2 linked regions of the Alligator mississippiensis genome follow. The protein of the gene in region 1 binds, or shares a complex with, the protein of each later gene. Links are inferred from orthologs where the notes say so. Each region holds a gene or a part of one and is shown on either strand. Other genes may lie near its edges. The genes, in order: LZTS1 and ASB7.

Evidence for each region.
Region 2: the proteins of LZTS1 (region 1) and ASB7 are in contact, whole or in part, in a crystal structure (PDB 8Y1U), measured with the Homo sapiens proteins. The link is inferred for Alligator mississippiensis from reciprocal best matches to the Homo sapiens genes LZTS1 and ASB7. Residues at the interface, in NP_001349813.1 of Homo sapiens: Arg346, Glu348, Leu349, Leu352, Met353, Glu355, Gln356, Leu358, Leu359, Glu360, Lys362, Leu363, Arg364, Ser365, Tyr366; in NP_937886.1 of Homo sapiens: Asn46, Trp48, Ala56, Ile79, Phe82, Tyr87, Met90, His91, Asp116, Trp118, Val123, His126, Tyr127, Ser147, Lys149, Thr151, Gln155, Leu156, Ile159, Arg160, Phe182, Arg185, Tyr186, Ile189, Lys190, Arg210, Leu220, Leu223.

Annotation. Positions count from the first base shown.
Region 1 is NC_081830.1:19,625,835-19,637,159, reverse strand, and holds the start of LZTS1 (leucine zipper putative tumor suppressor 1), read right to left. Parts: upstream 5,231-11,325; 5' UTR 5,109-5,230; intron 3,356-5,108; exon of another isoform or gene 3,266-3,355; intron 1,822-3,265; exon of another isoform or gene 1,512-1,821; intron 1,311-1,511; exon of another isoform or gene 1,239-1,310; intron 1-1,238. UniProt on the Homo sapiens protein: Involved in the regulation of cell growth. May stabilize the active CDC2-cyclin B1 complex and thereby contribute to the regulation of the cell cycle and the prevention of uncontrolled cell proliferation. May act as a tumor suppressor.
Region 2 is NC_081834.1:7,359,636-7,371,725, forward strand, and holds the start of ASB7 (ankyrin repeat and SOCS box protein 7), read right to left. Parts: upstream 5,808-12,090; 5' UTR 5,649-5,807; intron 5,255-5,648; 5' UTR 5,180-5,254; intron 1-5,179. UniProt on the Homo sapiens protein: Probable substrate-recognition component of a SCF-like ECS (Elongin-Cullin-SOCS-box protein) E3 ubiquitin-protein ligase complex which mediates the ubiquitination and subsequent proteasomal degradation of target proteins.

The sequences.
Region 1 (11,325 bases):
AGGTGCTGTCTGCCAGGAGGGAGGCTGGATGAGCTATGCACATAGGAATCTTATACAGAGCTTACCCACACTCTGCCTGCCCCACTCCAATGCTGCCATTCACATCAAACATTTACTGAATCTGTCCAAACATTTCCAGCGAAGAGACACTCTACAGACCACAAACTCCGACTGGGCACAGAAATTCCAAGGATGCTGCACATCACAAACCCACTAACCAGCTTCACAAGGAAGAAAACTATCCGTGCTCAGGGGCATCCAATCTGCTAGAGGTCAAAGAGAATCAGGATCCGGACCCTGGTCACTGTTTTGCAGTGGCCAGCTGTCACGACAGCTGGAGAAGGTGATAGCACCACTCGCTCTCAGCAACCTAGAGCTTTCCTCTGTCATGATTTATTTTCAAACCCTTGAAAGAGCTTTTATAGATGAAATTACAGGAATCGAGGTCAAAAAGTCATCCCTGTCCTATCCAGCCTTGTCATGCAAAATCCGCTTAAACCTTACAGATAACAGTCCCCTTAAAACTTACAGATAACAGACACCCCAACATGTCTGTGCACCCACACACCAATACCAGTCGCACACACATGCACATGCGAGCATACATAATCGCAGCATGCCAGCAGGGACAAATGTGCAGACACACACAAACACGCCCACACATATATGCATTTTTACAAACACACACATGCACAAGAACACATGCATACGTGCACACACAAAAAAATACTGAAGTAGCAACAATAACACCTGCCTGCATGAGCACACAACACATGCACAAATAAATACTAAAATAGTAACAATAACACTTAGTTGCACACACACACCTGTGCAAATACCAAGATAGCAATAACAAGATAAACACGCACATGCACACACTAACATGATAACAATAATACCCTCTAGCTCTTATATTTAAAGGCACATGATTATGAATACAAAAGTCTACCTACTTTCTGTATCTCTTCTAGACCCCCACATAAAGACATCCCTGTAACCCAAGCATCCATATCCTCACCCGCCTGGCTTCTCACATACCCCTAAGAGACACCGTACAAGCAGAGGCGCACACAACAACACATCCAGGCACACGGATACCCTTACCACCACACTCACACTGACAAACAGAAATCCAAACATCTACAGCAACAAACCCCAGCTCTTCCCCTGTCTTACACTGCCCCAACACACATGGACCCGTGCATGTACATACACGGAAACAAGCCACAATCCCTCACCTCCTCACAGGCTTGCTTCTTCACGCTGTGCACTCGCATACCCGTGCTACCCGCCCACTCACTGCCTCCAACTCTCAACACATGCGTGCACTCTGCCAGCAAATCATTTCTTATGCAAGAAATGAATCCTTTTCTTGAGTGCAGCACTGAGCCGGGAAGAACAAAATGAGAAGTCTTACTGCATGGCTTGCTCTTAGACAGGGTATGGACACCCATCCAAGGTAAAGCAGAGCGCTGTGTAGCTCCCCTTCATGCTACCTGAACCAAACAAACCTGGAGGTGCTTCAACAGGCAGGATTTTCTCCATGAGGAAGTTCCCAAAACTTAAGAGCAAAGAGAAGGAAGAAGCCGAGCCAGGGATGCTGGGATTCAGATCTTCTGGCTGTTCCCATGGGGCAGATCGCACTGAGGAATCAGCACTAGACGGTGCTCTTTGCTTTCAGACCTCTTCTGGGCAGTGCGCAGCTAATGATTTCGTATTGGGCGAGAGCCACACCTGGCTTTTTTGTAGTCTCTGCCTCTCTTTGTGCCTGAGCCGCGTGTGCTGTGATCTGAAGGCACTGTGTGCTTGGCACCACACTGACATAATGCTGCACAGGAGACGCTCATGGACCAAAAGCATGTGGCATGTGTTGTTATACACCCGGCATGCCATGGGGGTGGTCAAGGGGTGTGTATTGTGTGCAGAGGGCATACATGTGTGTGCTGCATGTGCTGTGCCCCTGGTGTGTTGCATGTGTTGGCAGTGTGTGCACAGGAAGAACATGTGTGCATTGCATGTGCAACATCCGTGGTGTGTTACACGTGCCAGGTATGTATGGGGGGACCACATGTGCATGCGGCGTGTGCCATGCCCATGGTGTGCTGCATGTGCAGGCCGTGTGTGAGTGGAGAGCACATGCATGCATTGAATGTGCCATGTCCATGGTGTACTGTGTGTGCAGGTGGTGTGCACAGGGAGCACATGTGCCGTGCCCCTAGTGTGCTGCGTGTGCACGGGGAACACCTGCGTGCATTGCATGTGCCACCTCCAGGGCATGTTGCATGCGCAGGGTGGGTACAGGGAGCACATGAACGCATTGCACATTCCATGTCCCTGGTGTGTTGAGTGTAAACAGACAGCACACACTGCATGTTCCACGTCCCTGGTGTGTTGGGTGTACATGGATAGCACACGTGTGCTCACTGCGTGTTCTGCATCGCTAGTGTGTTGTGTGTGCACAGACATCACACGCATGTGCACTGTGTGTCAGTCCCTGGTGTGTTGCGTGTGCACAGACAGCACACATGTATGCAGTGTACGTTCCATGTCCATGGTGTGTTGCGTGTACACAGACATCACACGCATGTGCACTGCATGTGCTGCGTCCCCGGTGTGTTGCGTGTACACGGACATCACAAGTGTGCGTTCTGCGTCCCTAGTGTGTTGTGTGTGCATGGACAGCACACATGTGTGCACTGCGTGTCCGTGTCCCTGGTGTGTTGCATGTGCACTGCATGTTCCACACCCGTGGTGTGTTACGTGTGCACGGACATCACATGCATATGCACTGCGTGTTCTGCGTCCCCGGTGTGTTGCGTGTACACGGACATCACAAGTGTGTGTTCTGCGTCCCGAGTGCGTTGTGTGTGCACGGACCTCACACACGTGTGCACTGCGTGTCCGCGTCCCTGGTGCGTTGCATGTGCACAGACAGCACACACGTGTGCAGTGCATGTTCCGTGTCCGTGGTGTGTTGCGTGTGCACGGACCTCACACACGTGTGCAGGGCATGTTCCGTGTCCGTGGTGTGTTGCGTGTGCACGGACCTCACACACGTGTGCAGGGCATGTTCCGTGTCCGTGGTGTGTTGCGTGTGCACGGACCTCACACACGTGTGCAGTGCATGTTCCGCGTCCCTGGTGTGTTGCGCGTGCACGGGGATGGCACATCCCTGCTGCTGCTGCTGCAAAAAAAAAGGCTGGCGGTGTGACCCCCTCCGCCCGCCCCGCCCCGCCCCGCCCCGCGGAGCCCGGCCCGGAGCTACCTGTGGCCCGGCCCGGGCGTGGGGGCGCTCCGTGCTGCGGCTCCGGCTGCGGCTCCGGCCCCGGCCCCGGCCCGGGCAGCGCCGCTCCATCGCGGCCGGGAGGTGGGGCCGGCGCCGCGGACCCGCTCATTGGCTCGCCGCAGCCCCGCCGCGGGCTTTGTGCGGGGTGACAGCTGCGAGCGCCCGTGTCCCCCGCCGGGGCCCTGGCGGCTGCAGCAGCCCCCCCCCCCCCTCCCCCCGAGAGCCTGGGGACTGGAGAGCATCTCGGGGGAGCTGCAAAGATGCCCGGGGAAGTAAAGAAGAGGTTTGGCCCCCATGCGGGCACCTTCCAGGCTTCGGAGCATCCCTGCTTCACAGCACCCGCAGCCCCAAACCTTGCAGAGTGGCACAGCACCCTCCTAGCAAAGCCAGCCGGGTCCTGGCCCTTGTACTGTCCGACCGGGAGTATGGGTTTTAGGCGAGCGACCTGTCCCCTCTGCTTATTTGGGGGGGGGGGGGTGCCTGTTCCCAAAGGGTTAAATCCCTCCAAAAATCTGCACAGCAAGAACATTTCTCACTTTGGTGTCAATGGCAGGGACCAAAATCAGCCGAGTAGGACAGGCAGGACAAGTAGGACAGTCGGGTGACCTGATGGTAGGCTGTTTGGAGGTGTGCGCCTTTCCCCAAGGGATTAAATCTCTCCAAAAACCGTCACAGCAAGAAAAATTCTCACTTCGTTGTCTTACAGCAGGCATAAAAATCAGCCGAGTAGGACAGTCGGGTGACCTGATGGTAGGTTATTTGGGGGTGGGTGCCTGCCCCCAAGGGGTTAAATCCCTCCAAAAACCTGCACAGCAAGAAAAAAAATTCTCACTTTGGTGTCTGCTGGCAGGCACAAAAATCAGCCAAGGAGGACGGTCGGGTGACCTGATGGTAGGTCACCTCCTGCCGATAAATCAAGTGGGATGTTATGGTTCTTTCCTTTATGCGGGGAAGGGAGCCCGAGGCGCACAATGATATCATATGACAACAGCATCTGAAGTCTCAACAAAGAACAAGGCTGTCCCGTGCACTAGGTGCTGTACAGATGTGCAGGGAGACACGCAGGGGAGTGACCGTCACTGCTCTCTAGTGCTGAGAGTCCAGTCAGTCTGACATGCATAAGATACCGTGTTAAGCACTCTCATTTGGGGGTGTTTGATAACATGTGTGTTCATGCCTGTTGTATGTGTGCACAACGATATCTGTGTTTGCACTGTGGTCTAGCTAGTGTTAAACTAGCTCACACAGGCAGTCTAGCAATAGCAGCACCAAGCTCGAGGTGTCCTGCCAAACTCACCTGAAAAGCACAGTCAAGTGCTTTTGCACTGAGACCTGCACTACAGGGGCCCACTACGGCTACCTGTGTCGGCTAGTTTAAAGCTTTCTTAGGCAGCTCTTAACCCCGCTGCAGTGCCTGCCATGTATACATACCTGCTGGTGATGTGTGCGCGTGGGAGGGTGTTCAGGGTTGTGAGCAACTCTGGAATTTGCTATTCAGCAAGGTGAGTGCCCCAAGCAGTAATTAGCCCTGTCTGTTCTGGAGCTGAAATGCTGCAGCGTAATGGGTGGGTGTGTTCAGCAGTTCACCTACCCGCTTAGCTAATGCAGCTCTTTTCTCCCTTTGTCTGGGCAAGCTCAGCCTCCTGACCCCTCCTGCCCTCGCTTTTCATTACTGAATGGCACACTGCTGCAGAGATGCAGGCAGCAGCTCCGAGCAGCTTGGCTACATCACCGGGATTTCAACCATCCTACACGACAGGTTTCGCCCTAAGTGAAGATGCTGTTGTACTGGCCAGATGGTGGTTTTGCCAGCCTTGCTTACCTGGAGCACGGTGAGGAGGGTACCAGTATGCAGCTTTGCCAGGATAGCTGCTTCCACGCAGGGAGCACTGTGCTGGTCTAGTATGTCTGTCTCTCCCACGCACAGTAAGATGAGTTCCCTCCCTTCTTCCCCCTCCTATGGAGCCGACCTGTTTGTAGTTGATAAGCTGACTTAGCCTGGTGGAATGTGCTGGGTAGCCTGCAGCACATCTGGACTTGTACCGTGCACGGCAAACTGCCTGACTCTCAGCCAGGTATGCAGTGGGAGGGCTCTCTCCCCACCTTGACTGCACACCTGCAGCCCAGGAGGAAGGGATTTTTGGGGGTTTTTTTAGTAAAAACATGTCTGTATATATATGAGGGTATATATAGCTACACTCCGAGTATCACCCCGAAAAGAAAACCGTAACCCATTACCAAAACTGCCTATGCGCAGCCCATGCACTTGTACAAAGGCCTGCTGGCCACCCGGCCCCATTACAATATCTGCATCGCATGCTACACACACAAACAACTTCTGGTCTCTCAGACCAGGCCACCCTTTTCTTTTCTCCTGCACCCCGCTTGCGGGGTCACATACTCAGTTCACTTGTTGTCTGTGTCTCTGTCATGAGGACCTGCTGCTGCTGTCACTGCCCTCAGTTCAACTGGTCTCTTCCTCACTGTCACCACCCCCTTCTCTGCTAGTGGGGAGTTGGAAGATCCTATGCCACATGTCTCTGTGGGTGCCCATACAGTGCCGATTCTCTGGTTAGCCAGTTGTTGCTGGTCACTGCTTCACAGAGCTGCTTCATCCTTTTCCATACCCCTTTGGCACAGGTGCAGAGCCAGAGCAATCGTCTCGGTGGCTCTGTGGCAGTTCAGCCACAGGCAGCTGGGTCTCCCCAGCTGACCCTCTCTCTCTCTGTCTCCAAGCCCTCACTGACCAGTCCTTGTGGTCTTTGCACAGGTCCTTGTGGTTGATGTGCTCCCACAAGACCTGGCACATGTTGCATGGGAGCAGGTCCATGGGCGATGTGGTGTCCCTCAACCTCACTGTCTCCTGGATCTTCTTGTGGTTGTTCATGGTTGCACTCTGCAGGCCATACAAGCTGGGGGACTGATTTAGGATCTCGTAAAACCACAGTGCACCCATGATCCACGGCTTGTGGTTAGTAGGGGTGAACACCCCCAGTGTCTCAGGATGTACCCTGCAAAATATCTCACCAGGCAAGTGGTTTTGGATTCGCCAGCTTGCAGATCTGGCTCGTATACTTGGCCAGCAGGAACAGGAGGATGTCTGGCATGCCCCTGCCCCTGGCCCTCTTGTCCTTGTGCATGGTCTTCCTGGTGACCTTTTCCCATCTGGAGCCCCAGAAGAAAATGCACACGGTTCTCTGGATCCTGCGGGCAACACGCTCGGAAGCGGGGGAGACCAATGTGGTATACAGAAGCATTGGCCGCAAAGCCGCCTTCACAAGTGCGGTGTGCCCCCCTCCTTGGAAAGGGAGCGCATGTGCCAAAGCCCCAGTCTCTGCTTTAACTTTGCCTCTGTCTTCTCCCACGCTGTCCTGCCGCTCAGATCAGGGTTGAAATCTATCCCGAGGATCCTGACCCCTTCACGGGGAACAGAGACCCCCAGGGACTCTCAGGAAACAGTTGATCTGCACTTCACTGCTCACTTCTGTGTTGAGGGTCTTGATCCAGCTGACGAAGGTTGGGGGGACTCCCATCTGCTCCAGCATCTGGAACAGGAACCGGTGGGACACTGTCATAGGCCTTCTTCAGGTCCAGGTTTAGGACGGTGATGCTCTGCCCTCTCCCTCTCCAGCTGGAGCGCATCTCTCAGGTGCACCAGGGCCCCATGGATCTGACGCCCTGGCACCCTGCACAACTGGTCCTTGTGGATGACTGTGCCTAGGATGGATTTAAATCACTCAGCCAAGACTTTGCCCAGCAGCTTATAGTCAAAGTTCACGAGAGTGATCAGCCTCCACTTCTTCAGCTCCTCCCTCGGATCCTTCTTGTAGGAGGGTCACGAGGCCCTGAAGTACGGGCCAGAGTCAGCCCTGACTTCAGTGAGTTTTGGAGCCAGTCCAACACATCAGCTGCCCTTGCACTGAGTTTTGCCCCCTGCCACAGTAAAGCAAAGCACATCTCATCTCTTCACAGTACCTCTGGCACAGCAGGTACCTCGAGGAGTTGTAGCACCAGAAGGACCCAATGAGCAAACCAGCTGTACAAGCCTAATATTATCCAAAGCTGCTGTGTGCTAGGAGTTTGTCTCTGATGCTTGGCCCTGGTTAGCTCCAGAGTGCTGTCTTAGGCTCTGTAAATGTGTACACACACACATGTGCACGCACACACGTATGCTAGTGGCAGAACCTGTAGATGGCCTCAACACAGCAGGGTGAAAAAGGGGAGGTGGGGCTGTGCCACTGCCATGCCTAGGAATGCAGGAAATACAGTTCATCAGTGCCAGAGATTAACATAGGGCTTGTCCTTGGCTAACCAAAGACAAGCCATGCTGCAGGCAGTGCTCACCTCTTTTCGAAAGCCAGGTATACTGCTTTATCGCTCTTTCCTGCTAAATTCCTAGCCAGGAGTTTGGAAAAACCTAGCAGGTTCTCTGGAATCTGTTCCAGGTTTGGCCTACCGAGCACCAAGCAATGGCTTTGGGAGTCCTGCACGTGTTGCATGAATATAGGGGAAATGAAACCTCGAGGAGCAGAAACCTGATTCTCCCTTGCCTTACATTAATGCAAAACAGGTGCAAAAAAAAAGCTACCGGATCAGAACCCCTCCTTTTCCTCCACACCAGGGGCAGCATTTTCCAGCAGCTTTGCCAAGGTGTAAATAGTAACACAGAAGATGTGGCAAGGAGGAATAAAGGCCATCACTCATGTCCCTTGCTGTCAAGCCTCAATGCTTTGACTCAAAGCGTTCCCACAGACTGATACTGCTTTCTGGCAGCTCATTCAGCCTCTCTGCTGATTTGTGCAATATTCCCACAATGCCATGTGTGCTGCCTGCTTGCCTTGAAAACATTGAGCTGGAATTTGCTATTTTAGGACCTAAAACTGAAGGGAGGGGGGAAGTATATTAATGTGAGCGCAGAGGAGGGAGTGAGCAGGATGGGGGGCGCATTATGATTGATTTCCAGTTGAGTGGAATTTAATATTCCCAGAACAAGCAGAAAACAATACTAGAACCCAAAACCAAGAAACGTCTCATGCCAGCTGGGTCGGTGGTCAAGTCACTAACATTTCAGAAATTGCTCCAAGTTTGACAGGGCACCAGTGGCCTAAACTGCACTTGCACCGTTGCATCAGTTGGAGCTTTCCTTTCCTTTTTCGTGTCTTTGTGACAAGGTATTTAGCAGGATTCACAGATCGGCTGGAATCGGACACGACCGCACCATGACCACTTCTGCTGTGGCCTTGAACTTGCGCCTGCGCCACCCCAGCCCCCATTTGGACTTGATTAGAAACCAATGGTAGACAAAACTCTGAAAGGACAGAGCCCTGCAGCCTGGCTCCTGGCATGAGTTAGAGCAACCTCAGAACTGCTTTAACTCACAGTTGGGGTACCCCAGACTCTTTCTGGCTGCCACCCAGTGGATGAACAGCAGCTCTTTGCCCACACTGCCTCTCTGACTCCTGAGTGTCTCTGCTCTTTTGCCTGGCTAGAATTATAGATGTGACGCACAGCCATTCTGGTGACACATCACAGTATTTCCTGAAGGCAATTCCCCATCCCTTTCCCAGCACTAAGGAAGGGTAAAGTAGCCCCAGAGTCATTGGCCTGTGGTTTGCATTGTTAGAAAGGCTCAATGGCTAATTCTGTCTTTGACTCTTATCACACTCTTGTCCCTTGAAATGAATCCTGTCTGGAGATAGAGCTCAAAGCTACCAATTCGTTCATCCCGCTCAAGTCAGAACTTGTCTCCTATCCTTGCCTTCTCAAGCGAGTCACACTATCTGGTATTACCTCATCTTTCAAAGTCACCTGGAAAGTTTCCCAGGGCAAAAGAGCCCTGGAGAATAACAGCAATAAGACTCACAAAGGGATCTGCTGTATTAAAGACTTCAGCGTAAACGCCCATGACTCTTCTTTCCTCTACACAGAAGTTTTTGGCAGATGCTAGAGGCTCCATCTCTGGGGAAACTCTTCCAGCTGAGCAGAGCTGAACAGAGCCATGGAGCACCTTGTTTTGCATCTAGGGTTTGTGCACACAAACAAGGGTTTCTGCCTCTGGGTTTTCAGTGATGGTTAAATTCCTACCAGTAGAGGCATGGGGTTTTTTTAAAGGTTTTTAAAAATGACTCCCCTAAAAGCAATCATATATATCTCTAGTAGGGGTTTCCCTGACTCTCACCACTATGCCAGCTTAGGAACAGATCCATCGCTGTTACAAGGGTAGGGTACTCAGATGCATCTACTGCAGTGAGTGCAAGGACTGAACGCGCTCCTTGTCCTCTCCAGTACAGTCCCTGAGAAAGAATTGTTGGAAGGAGGGGTTACAATGGGCTTTTAATTAAGCTACTCATAGGCTGGGGAGCTCTTGTCTCCTGCATCCATAGTGAGAGGCTGCTAGAAAGAGCACAACATGGAGTAGGAGTTAAACCAAGGCTGTACTGCTGACAGGGCAAGGGCACTTCTCGGAGAGGCAGCAGGTGCCAATTTGGCCTTCTCCCAGAACTTGTGAAAGCAAATGCATTGTAAAAGGACAGAAAGGTGGAAAAGAAAAGAGAGGCAGGAAGGAGCTGGTGATGAGGTGTTGAGGTCTGTCTCCAAAATGGGACTAAATGTTATCATCTCCTGCTTACAGGGGGGTTACTAGGACACAGAGAGGAAGGGCATTATAGGCTGCAAACTCCTGACAGCACATGCATCAGTCACCCATGTGGAGATGCATTCTCCCTGACTCAGCATACCTCTGCCAGCTCCTAGGGTAGACAAAAGTGCATTGGAAAAGCTGCACTTGTGCCAATACAGCTGGTTTCATTTGTGTGGGATGATGTTAGGAAACTGGCCCAAAGCCCAGCTGCGCTGGTTTAGCAGCGCCCTTCCCAAAAGTGCAATGCTGTTATTCTTGAACTGGGATAGTGCTCCTACACCACACATAGCCTGAGCTGCTGGCTTGAGGTGGCAGATCAGATTTGTGGGAGAATCAGGAACAGACCCCCAGTCTTCTGAGTCCAGGTCCAGAGCTTTAATGGTGAGAGCATCCTTCTAAACCCTCTTCTGACATAATATTTTATGGCAGTTCCAGCCTGTAAGTGATGGGCCAGGAAGAAAGTTTCACTCTGGCCAACCATCTCACTGTAGCCCACTATTCTTGGACCTACCTCTGCAGCACCAGAACTGGCCACTGGGCCTGGTACAGCTCTGGTCTGAATCAGTCTGGTTCCTTAATTCGCAATGGACATATAACATCCACCATCTGCTCATAGATTTGGGTCCTTACAGATCCAGACTAGTGTAAGCGGGGAGACAGGAGGCTCCCTCTTCTGACAAGAGGGTTTTATTTAACTGTAGTTTTCTTTCCCTCCTCCCCGCAACCCTAGTATTATTTTGTCTGCTTTGTGAAGCTCTCTGGTGAAAGGGGCTCATCAAAGCTCCTAATTACGGCCGCCCACACACATCACTGCGCCTGCAAGAGGCCTCTATATAGGGAGCTGGCACTCAGGGTGGTGGCAGTGCAGCTTGGAGTATTCTGCACTTCTAATGAAGATCTCTAGCTCTTGCTGTGGCCCAGACAGCCTGGAGGAGACCCAGCCCTCATGCTTCATACTGGCAAGGGAGGGACAGATGCTGTCAAAGACAGACTGTGTTCTCCCCTTAGATAATTCCAAGGGTGGGCGTTTGTCAGCTCCAGTGGGCAGGAGAGCCTTTGCCTGCACATGTTCTGCTTGCTTCAACCCCCCCCAAATGTCGCTAGCTATTTCCCTTGCAAATCAAGAAGAAGCAACAGGAAAAGCAGGCTGCGATTCAGCTTCCCAGCAGGCATGCTGTGGTGTGGCAAACCTGGCTGTGATGCTTTTTGCCTGGGTGGGGAGGTCTGTGGAGACAAAAGCAAAGCAGAAAAGGGCAGGGGAAGGCCGAGGGGGCAACCACTCCCAAGGGAGAGGGTGGAAGAGGACAGGTGCCAGTGGAAGTTGTGTGATGGAAAGAAATGAGGAGACAGAACCTGGGAAGGAAAGGAGAGGTGACTTGAAAAGGGAGAGGTTTTTTTC
Region 2 (12,090 bases), on another chromosome or scaffold:
TCCTTGTACTCCATCTGCTTTCATCCATCCGTTGTCCTTCTCTTCTACTTAAGACTGTAAACTCCTTGGGATAGAACCAGTGTTTTTTGTTCTGTTTGTACAGTGCGCAGCACAATGGGGTGCTGTTCAGTGACTGGGCCTCCTAGGCACTATGGTAATTCACATAAATAATGAAAGCCTGCATTGGTTCACTATATTGAAGATCATATTAAAAATAACTATGACCTGTCTCGTGCTATTGAACCATGCTAATCAAAGAAAAAGTTACAAGAAGAAACATCCATTAGTCAGCAAAAAGTTTAACACAACAAGATAATTTGCCTTCTTTACTTCCTAAAGGTAGCTAAGGGAACATGCACCTAAACCATTTGCTATATTTTTGCATTTCATGATGAGAGACACCAGCAAGATGATCATAGACCTGTACAAAATTACACTGCCATGACCTAATTTGATCACATTACTAGACTTGTTTTTGCATAAATGATCAGTCATTAGTTCACTTTTATTTTTGCATGATTTTCACTTAAAAACCCACACATTTTTTATTAGCTGATGCAAATTAGAACCGCACTGACTTCACAGACTAGAGACAAAGTAACAGCTTGCTCCACTAAAAAAGTAACAAGCTCCTTCCTTCCCCCACTCCCCTCAAAGGAATATAAGCTGCATATGGCAAAATAATGATCTGTAACTTTAATGAAGAGTTCTGTCACTGAATATGATAACTTAAGTTCACCTACTAGAAAGGATTTTAAAAAGTTGATTAAGATACAGTACGGAGACTAGCAGATTATACCAGAAATAGAACAGTAACCTAAATGTAGCATGCTTGACTTGATTATCCACCAACGTGTGGCTCATATGGTCAATGTGATCTGACAATTTTCTACACAAAGGTGTTTCTTCATTAAATAAGGAATAAACCTAAATACAATTTTTGTGTTTTCCTCTTAAAGGAAGGTAAAGGTTGATGCTGGAAGTAAGGTCAAATAGCAATGGTTTAGTAATAAAGAGCATCTGAAGCAGTAGATGACCTAACAGGTAGCACTCATCTCTGGGACACGCTGTCTTGTTCATGACATGTAGTAGAGCACTTCTTGGCATTTAATTGCCAACAACAAGAAGGAAGTCATATTGTTGTATGTGACACCAAGTACATCTGCATGCCATATTAAACTGAGGTAGTTAAATATCCCACAACCCTTTAAAAAGAAAAAAACCAGAAAATAGTGGCAGGTGTGTCCAACAGTCTCTTCTCAGGACCCATTTTTATCATTACCGGAAGTGAGCCAGCAAATGTCAGCCACTTACAATGGCCATAATAACAGGCCCCATTTTCAGAGGTGCAAAGAAGGAGGAGATGACAACACATTATAATCCTACTTGCACCTTATGGCAGTTAATCTGTGCTATGATCCAGTTGGATCACAAGCTTGGTGACAGTCAAGTACTTGGAAAGGAGATGTTTCTTGGTGATCTATTTGCATAGTTCCCAAGGAACAGTGAAAAAAATCCATCAAGATGTGATTAGGAGCACTTCACTGCTGTCTTTCAAAGTAAGGACAAGGAAAAACCCTAGATCCTCACAGGAGGTTACTAAACATCTCATAATACTTTTCATAAGAAACAGAACTACTGCCATCCCACAGCCCTGAAAAATTCCAGCTCCTTTAATTACTTTCTGCTTGTTTAAATTTCCCCAGCAATTTTAATTGGCTATGGTGTTCTTCATTTCCTCACCTTAAACTGCGGCAGAGTGTTGCTACACAGTCTTGAACAGCTGTTGTGCTATTCCCCTCTACAGGTATCTGCATTTCAATGGCAAGTTCAGCAAAACCTATGTATTTATCTAGATCTCAAAAGTGGCATAAGGATTAATTTATGGAGGAATTAGTAAATTATACCCTCATACTGGGGAAGAGCTGGAGGAAACTCCCCTTTTGCTAACTTCCCTCATAGCTCCTGAGGGAAGTCATCAGCACTGATGGGAAGTCCATTAGTAGAAACACTAAGGGAAGTCATACACTATAAACTCTTCCCAGACAGTTAGTTTGGGACTGCACTGGGCCCTTCCAGTTCATTTGGTGCAAGGGACGTCATAGCAGCTTTCTGAAGCTGCACACTCATCCCTCAGGCCTGCCATGAGAGTCTGTAGGGTGAACCTGGCTTGCAGAGGGAACATCTGCACTATAGCAGCAACATAACCCTGTCAGACTGTTCCTAAGCACTCCCTACCCATCTGCTCCTGCCTGTATCTGTCAAACTGCTTCAGGCAGACCCCCACTGACCATTTTCAAGTATGCCACAAATCAAGGTGCTGGGGACATCCAGTGGAGATGATCCTCAAGTGGTTTCACGAATACACTTCTGGATTTGGAGTGTGCAACTGGGAGCAGATGGGTGGGGTATGCTTGAGAACTGCCTGGCCTGCACACACCGGTACCCTGGGGTAGACATACCCTAAAACTCCTTAAGATCCTTAGACAAAAGGTGCCAAGGGCCACGCTCTCTTCTATGTTACAGTGATGCAATTCTTATTTAACAGAAGTATTATGTTGGCCAAATAAGGTTACATAGATTATTTTGAGCTACTACTTAAACAAGGAAAATTCTTGGTATGGAAATTGTGCGTGAGTATGACTATCTCAAAGAGTTCACAATCAAATTGAAGTTTCTTGTCATTTCCAGTGGAACCAACATGACTGTATCACTTACTATCATTGAACTATCTGAACAATGACATTAAGAGAAGAAAGCAGAGAAGAACTGGATGCTTCAAGCCAAATTACAATATTCTCTCTTAGCTGATGAGGCCGAATAACAATAAGCTATATTCATATAATTGGTTCCATCTAAATATATCAAGTAATGTTTTTCTGTTTGTTCTTGCTCTTATTTTAGAGTATCCCGAGTGGAAACAGTATAACAGGTGACTTTATGTATCAAAGCAGTTTTTCACTTTGATAATGCCATTCTGCAAGCTAATACCATGGTCTCTACAACAGAAGATGCAATCTCTCAGTCAGGAAGTTTTCTTAAAAGGTTTACAGTCCATCAGAAGCAAAAGATGCTTTTCTATAGCTTCAAAGCAAACAGAAAAAACCCAGGTCAAAGTACAAATAACTCTGTAAAACTGGAAGTCCCTTCTGTCTAGGAAAGATCTATACTTGTAATGTACTGCACTCCCTCCAGAGTGCAGCACTAAGCCTTCACTTCACTTGCATGGGATTTAAAGCAAGTCTTTTAAATGACTCTTGCCCTGATTTGGAACTGAAGAGGTACATTTATTTTAGGGTTTTGACTAGTGTAGCCATATCCATACAACAATCCCTCATGCAGACGGGCCCGCAGGCACAGTGAATACATCCAGCCACCATTTTCCACGGCAGTAAATGTACTATTTTAATAGTACACTATAAACAATGACGACGTGCCTATGCTGCTTCACTGTACTTTTACAAATTTGTTTTCTAAATGTAAGTGGGGAGTTCTCTCTTTAGCTATTGAAATATAACTACTACCTTTGACCATACACTAAGAAATCCATCTGCACTAGGAAAACGGCCAATTGCTGACCAAGGTTGTTACCAACAAGTGCTGCCTAGCTCCTCCTCTGCAGAGAGGACTCAAAACAATTCTGGCACAGCCTTCATTAGTAACTAAGTCTTGTTAGTACTATTTTAGAACACGGATGACAAAGTACATTTTCGAGAATTGCAAAAAAGTCTGGACTCATCTACCTTGTCAACCACAGCTCTTGAAGTGGGTTCAATTACACTGACATTGTCACAAATAAGAACTCCATCCTAAGAGAGCCACAACACGCGAGATTCTTTCCACCTGTCGTCTTCAAATTTTCAAAGGTACCTGGTCTGGGCTTGAAGACTGATCAACATCATCTTATTCCCTCCCTCATCTTTCATGATAAACTTGCTTCTTTACCCAGTCCTCTCTTTCCCACTCTTTAAGACACATTTTCCCATTTCAGGAAGCCAAAAAAAAAAAAAACTTAGCCATGCCCCAAGAGTAGCAGCATTTACTTAAAAGTCATGAATTCTCAAGAAACACACTGCTGACTAAAGCAACTACACAATCTAATTGCTATAACACACCCTTTCCCTACTCTTCCCCTAACCTTTATAGCTGTCCAGTCATCAAATCACAACACAACTTCTTTATTTACATTAGAAGTAAATTGAGGCAGGGGATGTCGCTCTTTGTCCGTGAAGTCCCACATACTATTAACGCACTGTAGAAACTAACTGACCAACCAACAACGGGAATACTTCATATGCGAGATGGCTCTACTGTAACCAGGTCTATGTTGGGATGCCTTACGCCATCGGAACGAATGCAAATGATGATGACGACATGCGTTTAAGCAGATACTATTTCTGGTAGGTCAAAATTTGAACCTAGCTCCTTCCCGCAGATTAAAGCAATCTTCCCTATTCCCACTGCCATCCTCTATTTTACCTAAATTTGTGATTTGTTGGCAACACAATATTTTTGCATTTTGCGTAAAAATAGGTAGTCTCGCGTTGTGACGAACAAGCAATATTCGATCCTTCGGTGATAAAATCTGCATGGGCTAACACACAGACGTTCGCATTTCTAAACAGACCGTTCATTAACCGTTATTCAGTTTTCACAAGCGAGTCGCAACACCCTGTGCGCATGCAAATTTGGCATAAATAAAAAATTAGAGACAGCTATAAATAAACGAATGCAGCTACTCTGGCCTAGTCCAGCTATGGCTTTGGGAATCGCTGCCATTATCATGGACAAAGTCTTTGGCGCATGTGCGCGGGAATCGAGCAAAGGAACGTGATTTCTCAATTTTTACTTCGGATATGGAGAGGCACTGAATAACCAGTAGCACATCATTTATGAAATCCCTAAAGGGGGAGGCCACAAAAAGGCCTGGACGCTGCAGACCACGAGGAATAACCTGTGGGGCGTTACACGCGAAGCGCAGAGCGAGGCGGAGAGGGAGGGGAGCAAGTGCATTTCCCCCCAGCTGCTTTGGAAGTCGTCGACCTTTCCGAGCCGAACAGCGGACCGTTTTTGGAGCACGAAGAAACGCTAACATCACCGAGTCAAACCTGACGCGAACGGCGTCCGACCCCGGCCGGTCGGGCTCCTGCGCCGCTGCGTACGCAAAGCGGACCATCACCTTAGCAGCGAGCGCAGCTCCTGGGTCTCCCATCCCCTTCGGGCTCCCGGGCTCCTCCGCCGAGGCAGCTCGCACCTGCAGAGAAAGGGCAGCGCTGAGAGCTCGGCGGCGGGCGTTCGGGGGAAGGAAAGCTCGGAGACACCTCGGGGTGGGGGGGGGGCATGAGACGAGGCAGGGGAAGGCACCAGCCTCTCCTTGGACAGGGGGAAGGAGAGGGCAGCCGTAGCAGGGCAAGGGGGATGCTCACAGATGCTGACGGAGGGAGGGAGGGTGGGGGGGTCCTTCATGATCCCCCTCAATGGAGGCATAACAGGACAGGGGCTCAAGGGAGAGAAGGAAGCAGCACCATGGGGGGGGGGAGGGGGCAGCACCATGGGGGGGGGAGGGGGCGCAGACCGGAGTGGGGGAGGGGTAAGGGGGGGGCGTCTCCCTCACAGCCCGGGGGGGGGGCGGGCCGAACGGCCGTTACCTGCGATGCGGTGAGGCGGCGCCGGCCCCGACGGCTCCCCCCCCGGGCAGCGCGCAGGGCCGGGGGGAGCCGCAGACCCAGCCGTTGCGGGGGGGGTTGTGGGGACACTTTGCACTGAGCCTCCCCCCCCCGCCCCTCACTCCGGGGTCACCGGGCCGGGACTGACCCCCGCGACAGCCAATGGGGAGCCGCCGCTGGGGCCCCGCCCCTCGCCGTCAGGGCTCGCGGCGCCGGGTTGGCTGGCGGCGGCCGGGCGGCTCCGCCCAGGGCCGTAAAGCACCGCGGGGTTGCGCGACAGCGCGGGGGAAGGGGCGGTCGCGGCGGAGCGGTCGCGGGGAGAGGATTGGGCCCTGTTGCGCCCGGTTGGGTGTTGCTTAGCAACCGTGCGCGGGCGCGGCCTAGGCGCCAGGTGAGGGCGGGGGTCCCTGGAGGCCGTCGCGGGGGCGGCCTCCACCTGCCACCTCTGCTCGCGCGTCCTAGGGCTGCCCTGGCTCCTGCTCCCTCGGGCCTCGGAGGTGGAATTGATTTGGCTTGAAACGAGAAACATTTTCTTTAAAAAAAAAAAATATATTAAAAAATGTAGAGTTTGGGGTTGGGTTGCGGGGGAGGGGCTGGATCCTGCCAGCCCCACGTCTCTCACTGAGGGAATAACGGGGCACGTGGGAATGATTGAGTGCTTTGTGTGATGTAAAATCATAATAATAATGATCATGGCTGTTTCTTTCGAATGTAGGAAACAGTGCGGGACAATTTCACCATTCTTCATAAAAAAAGCGGATTTCTGTGTGCAGATATAAGGCGAAATGTCCTCCTTTTGGAAAGGTACGTGGACTTGACCAGTCTTTTTCAGGGATGTTTTGGGGGTACGGGCAGTGCTCGGGTGCGGCAAGTCGAAACGTCGTAAGTCAGAACTGATTTTCCCAAAGGAAACCATGTTATAAAGGGGGGATTGGTTCCTGAACCAAGGCCCGATACTCTTATTTTCCCCCAGAATAATACAGGATATTGTACTTGATCAATTATAGTTGTGTAACATAGCTGCGTGAATGTATTTCTGTTGTCAATAGCAATACTGATTTGGAAAGACTTCTTTGAGGTGGCTTTGCTGGAGTTTGTGGCGGGCTCTCGGTTGGGTGTTTTTGAAGGGGGGGGGTCTTCTCAGGAGTCCTGGCTGCAGGTTTTTCTGGAGTCTTGTCTGCTTTCGTAAGGAAAGCGTCCAAGGAAGCGTGGATAGATGTTCTCCAGGGAGATGGGCGATGCAGCGAACTTGTTCGCTGGCGTGACGTCGGATTAAGCGTCATAAAGTCAAAACTGACGTCAGAAAGTCCATTTATAAATGTCATAAGTGCCACCCGTTGTTACTTGAAACGTTTTAGGTCGAGGACTGCCTATAGTGACCCCCTGTTTAAGTTTCTTTTGCCTGGTGTATGATATTCCTGAGAACAGTTTCAAGCCACTTCCCTCCAAGGCTTTTGTCTGCAACCTTGTACCTGTTTCTCTTTCAGTGTCTCTTTTTTTCCTTCCTCTTCCTTTAAGGAAGGGAGAAGGGGAAGGAGGGTAGTGGCTTTCTCCTACCCACTGTGCAATGATTAGTTTTTGCTATTGGTTTTTAAAGGATAATGGAAAAAAAAAATCATGGCACTAACGTGCTATTTGACGTCGTGCTGTCACCTGTCTTGTCCATTTGGATTGTAAGACTTGCCCAGTGCCAGTCACTGGTATGGGCGGCTCAGGACCCAGGCAGGAAGGGAGCCCGAAAATGGTAATTTTTTGGTTATTATGATCATTATCTCTGGCAAAGGCGGGGGTGGGGGCGATACTAAAAGTTCAACAGGGGCTGCCTAGGTACAGTGCTGGACTTGCCCTGCTTAGTGGTTCCCAACCTTGATCCTGTCAAAATACAAAAAATAATAGATAAAATTGAAAGACATTGTTCCTAACATGGCTTTGCTGTCATGCTACTGCTTCTTTATTCCCCACTTTGGCTTCATGCCATCTTGTACTACCCTCCCCCGCTACTATCCTGAAACCATCTGTCTTCATCCTCCGGTACCTTCCCTCTTTCAGATGCTTAATACCCACCTCTTAAAGAATCTCTGCCACTTCTTTCTTAATTATTATCTTTTCTTTCCCTTCTGAACTGTTGTCCTGTTTGGGACATGCTATAGGCATTTGTAAAACGTTCTTTATCTTAATGCTGCCACTTACATGTGTTAAGATATGATCAGGTAAAGCACAGCCAATATCCTGTTGCAAAGGTAGAATTTCTTAGTGCGTGCCCTAGAGGAGTTCTCAGTCTTTCACCCGAACAGCATCCCTGTATCGTATAAATTACACAAGAGATCTACTCGTGTCACATGCAGAACAGTCATTCAGTTGTGTTTATTCAAACCCTTTGTAAATGTGCGGAAATGTAATTTTATTCTGTTGTATATTCATTTAGGTAGAAATAGACCTTGAAGATGGGAACAGTACTTTGTATAAATTTAGCCACAAGCTGAGTTCTGAAGAAATTGTATGAAGTTTTAGATTATAATTTCTATTCCATATAGAATGCTAAGTATATTCTGCAATTGAATATAGAAGTATCTGATATTTTAGACTAATTGTGTTGAAAATGGGACATGTAGACAGCAAAATAATGTGGTATTCCAGTGTCATCATGTCCAAGGTTTGGTAAAGTTCTAGCTTCTACAGGTCAGACCTCGCTGAATGATATTTTCCAAAAAAATACGTGAGAATCTGTGTGACAAATGTACACATTTTGATAGCACACACTGCCTTATCATCCAATTTTCAATTCTGTCTGAGACAAAATATGGGCAGGTTGTGGTAGTCAGGAGTCTGGGTTCTATGCCTCAATTTGTCATTTAAGTTGCTCTGTAACCTTGGAAAGTCACTTGACTCTCTCAGCTTCTGCACATGCACAGTGCAAAAGTGGACACCGATGTATAAATAGGTTACATGACTTTCCAAGGTTACACGGCAATTTTAATGGCAGATTGAGGGATAATACAACAAAGGAAGGGGAAGTACTTTGGAAGCTGCTTAGAGATGATAGGCTAAAAAATTCACTGCGTATGCCGAGTGGTACAGCAGAATATTTGTCACGCTTTTAGACTACCAGTCAAAATAAGCCATGATTAACGATAAGTAAATTGCATTGTTTTGTTTGCTGCTATGTACTTGTATATATAACGGATAGATGTTCAGGGAATTGTTAGAGACTGCTCCCTTTTTTTATGAGATAAGAATAAAAAAGGAGAAACTGGGAAAAAGAAACTGATTATCTCTTTCCCAACTAGTAAGTACTTGCTACCAGTAATAAAATGATCAGTCTAGGACTGTACCTGGCTGGCTGTCTCAGATTTAAAAGGCAAGCTCTAAACATGCTCCATAGAAGAAGAGTTCTTTTTAAGCAGACAGCCCTGCAGTTTTGAGTATTGCAAACCTGGAAATCACTATGGCATAGATTGCTGTTAAACAGGAGTAGTTGTAATTATGGCATAAAGGTGTTGGTGTTGTTGCATAGCAGCGTGACTACCTAGAGCTGCTTGGAAAGAATAGCTTCTCTGACCTTAAGCGTGTGGACTAACATGACAATTGGACTGTTCCAAAAATGTCATGGGTTGCAAATTGGTTCATGGTTGTCCCTGGACAGAGGTGCCTGCACCTACACTGCTGAAGGGGAGGGCTCTGCATAGAACCTTTTAGGGATTGCAGGTGTGTGGAGAGGGAGAGAAAAGCCTAGACACCACTTGGTGGGGTCCCTGACTCGTATAGGGCTGGAGGCTGGTGCAGGGTGGAAGGGTTACCAGGTAATGTGGCACCAGTGTGACCCTCTTGCTCATAGTTCCTGGTGGGTTTTTCAAGGGATTCCTCCCAAGAACTTGGTAGTTTTTTAGCCCCTTATCTGAAAGCTGTTTCACCTTCCAGGGCATAGAAGCCCTGAAGCTACTGGGTCCCTTGCTCCTTTTGGGGTGGGGAGGAGGGGGGAAATGAGTGAAAGGGTTGCTAGGTGTTGATGCGGGGGCTAAGTGACCCTTGCTTTTGGTGCTTGGGGGGGGGGGGGGAGGGTGGGCACACTTGCCCAATCCAGGATCTCCCCTTTTGCCTGCTATGGAAAGCATTCTGGTAATTTCCCCTTCCCATGCTGCAAGGTTCCAGATTGATTTTGGGGGGGGGGTTGCTGGGGGGGTAGGGGGAGCTTTGTGCTCCCCCTGCTCATGTTTCCCAGGACTCTGTGCCTTTTCAATGCCTGTCGAAAAAGCTATTTTGTCATTTTTACCTTCCCATTATGGACCCTGCAGCTGCAGGCCTGGAGTTCTTTTGGGGTGGTGGCTACCTTTCCAATCCCACCAAGTGCTAGGCAGGGGAAAGTGGGGATGACTGTGTGGCCCCTTGCTTGTGGTGCCAGGCAGGTTTGGGGCTGTGGTGCCCAGGGTCCATAAAGAGGTAAAACCAACAAGGTGGCTTTCCAGGGCAGGGGTTGAAAAAGTAGCAGAGTTCTTGGCTGGGGAAGGGGTGGTCCTGGAGCACCCAGCCCCCTCAGAACCACAAGCAGGGGGGCTGCACACCTGGCAACCCCTCCACTACCCTCTGCCTCCGATGAGCCTGAGGTTCACAGCACGGGGTCCTGCAGGGAAATGAATCAACAAAATGCTTTGCAATGAAGTTAAAAAAGGAGATTTTTGAGGTGGGGCTGGAGCATGTTGCCCCCTGGGCACCACAAGCAGGGGTCACTCCTGCCCCCCTTAGCATCTTGTAATCTTTCTATTCAACCCATGCCCCAAATGGACCTGCGAGCTACAGCACAAGGTCTGTGCAGGGAAGTGACATTGACTTTCCAGTGCGAGTCTTGCCAAAATAAAAAAGCAAAGATATTGGGGAGCCCCTAGAGTACCCAGCCTCCTGGGTACCACAAGCAGGGTTTACAGCTTCCCCCAACCACGTGGCAGCCTCTTCATTCTCACCCCCCACTCCAAATTAATCTGGGACCTGCAACACAGGGTCCATGCAGGGAAATGAAATTGGTGAAATTAGTTTTCAGGGCAGAGGTTGAAAAGCTGCAGTTCTTGGGGATGGGGGGGCGGGGCAGCCAGCCCCCATTAGAACTATAAGCAGGGTGTGATACAGACTCCCCACCCCATGCCCCAGATGAGCCAAATGACAGAGGCTTCCTGCTTCCCCACCCTTGCAGGCTGTGGTCTCTATAGGCAGTAGTCCTACATGCAGTCCAGAGCATCCCCTTGCCCTGCATGTGTTTGGGGGTGGAGAGGAGTGGTGGTACAGCTGGGGTTGCCTGAAGGACTGACCACACACTAAGCATGAAGTTCTCTGTGTCTGGACTCGAACATGCTGGTTCATGAGGACCAGCTTAAAACAGGACTTGGTATCCTTGGTGTGCTTTTAAAACATTTAGGAAAGCTTACACCCATCTTAAATGTTGTGCACATGTAGACTCTGGGGTCTTAAAGTGTATGTAGAACATGCTAAGCATTATGTCTGTCCACACCATTAAATGTTTAGTACCTTCTTTCTGTAAGCATATTAAATCATTGGGGTACTGCTGTGTTTTCTTGTATATAACATATACCTGCCCCCAAAATCAGTGTCGTTCCCCCTCCAAACTGGGATCTATTAAGCAGGGAAGCTGTTCTTTTTATTTATTTTTTTGCTGGTAAAGAAGGAAGCCTGGAAACACTGTGCATGCCATGCATCTACCAAGATGATTGTTGTTTGTCTGGATCAGCAAACTAAAGGGGCACCTGTGCGAACCCTCTCACAGCTGTAGCTATTAGCTGTGCACTGTAGTTCATGCCTGAACCAGAGAGTAAGCTGTTGTAGTATCCTGATGAGGCTTATGGTGTGGAAACAGCACTGTGTTTATAGGAACTGCCTGGGGCCTAACTTTGTGTGACAGTAAGTCCTCCTGGGTGAGTTCCTGCTGTCTGCAGCCTCACCTAGGCTGTCTTCTGGGGTGCCATACTTCCTGAGACACTCTGTTTGTAGGAGGACTTGATGTCACAAAGTTGGCCATCCAAAAGCAAGGTGCATGTTTTATTTGGGTTTGTATTTCATGCAAGAAAATATGATACTTAAAACATATCTTCAATAACAAATTCAATGAAGCATCTTTTTATCCAAAAATTATAGAAAGTAGGATTGGAAGGGACCTCAGGGGATCACTTAATCCAACCCCCTACTCTGAACCATCCTAGGCAAGTTAGTGTTTGTGTAACCCAAGGCTAGGTAAGCCCCAGCATGCGTGCCAGAGTGGGGTGCGCACAGGCATTTTGGTTGTCAGTTTGCCTGGCACTTCAGGAAGGGACCAGGGCTATGCTGCCACAGCAAGGATCAGGCCCTTTGCGGCTCTCCCACTGTCCACCCATGCCATGCCAACATCTTACAAGTCAAGACTGTGGATGTTTTTGGCACTTTG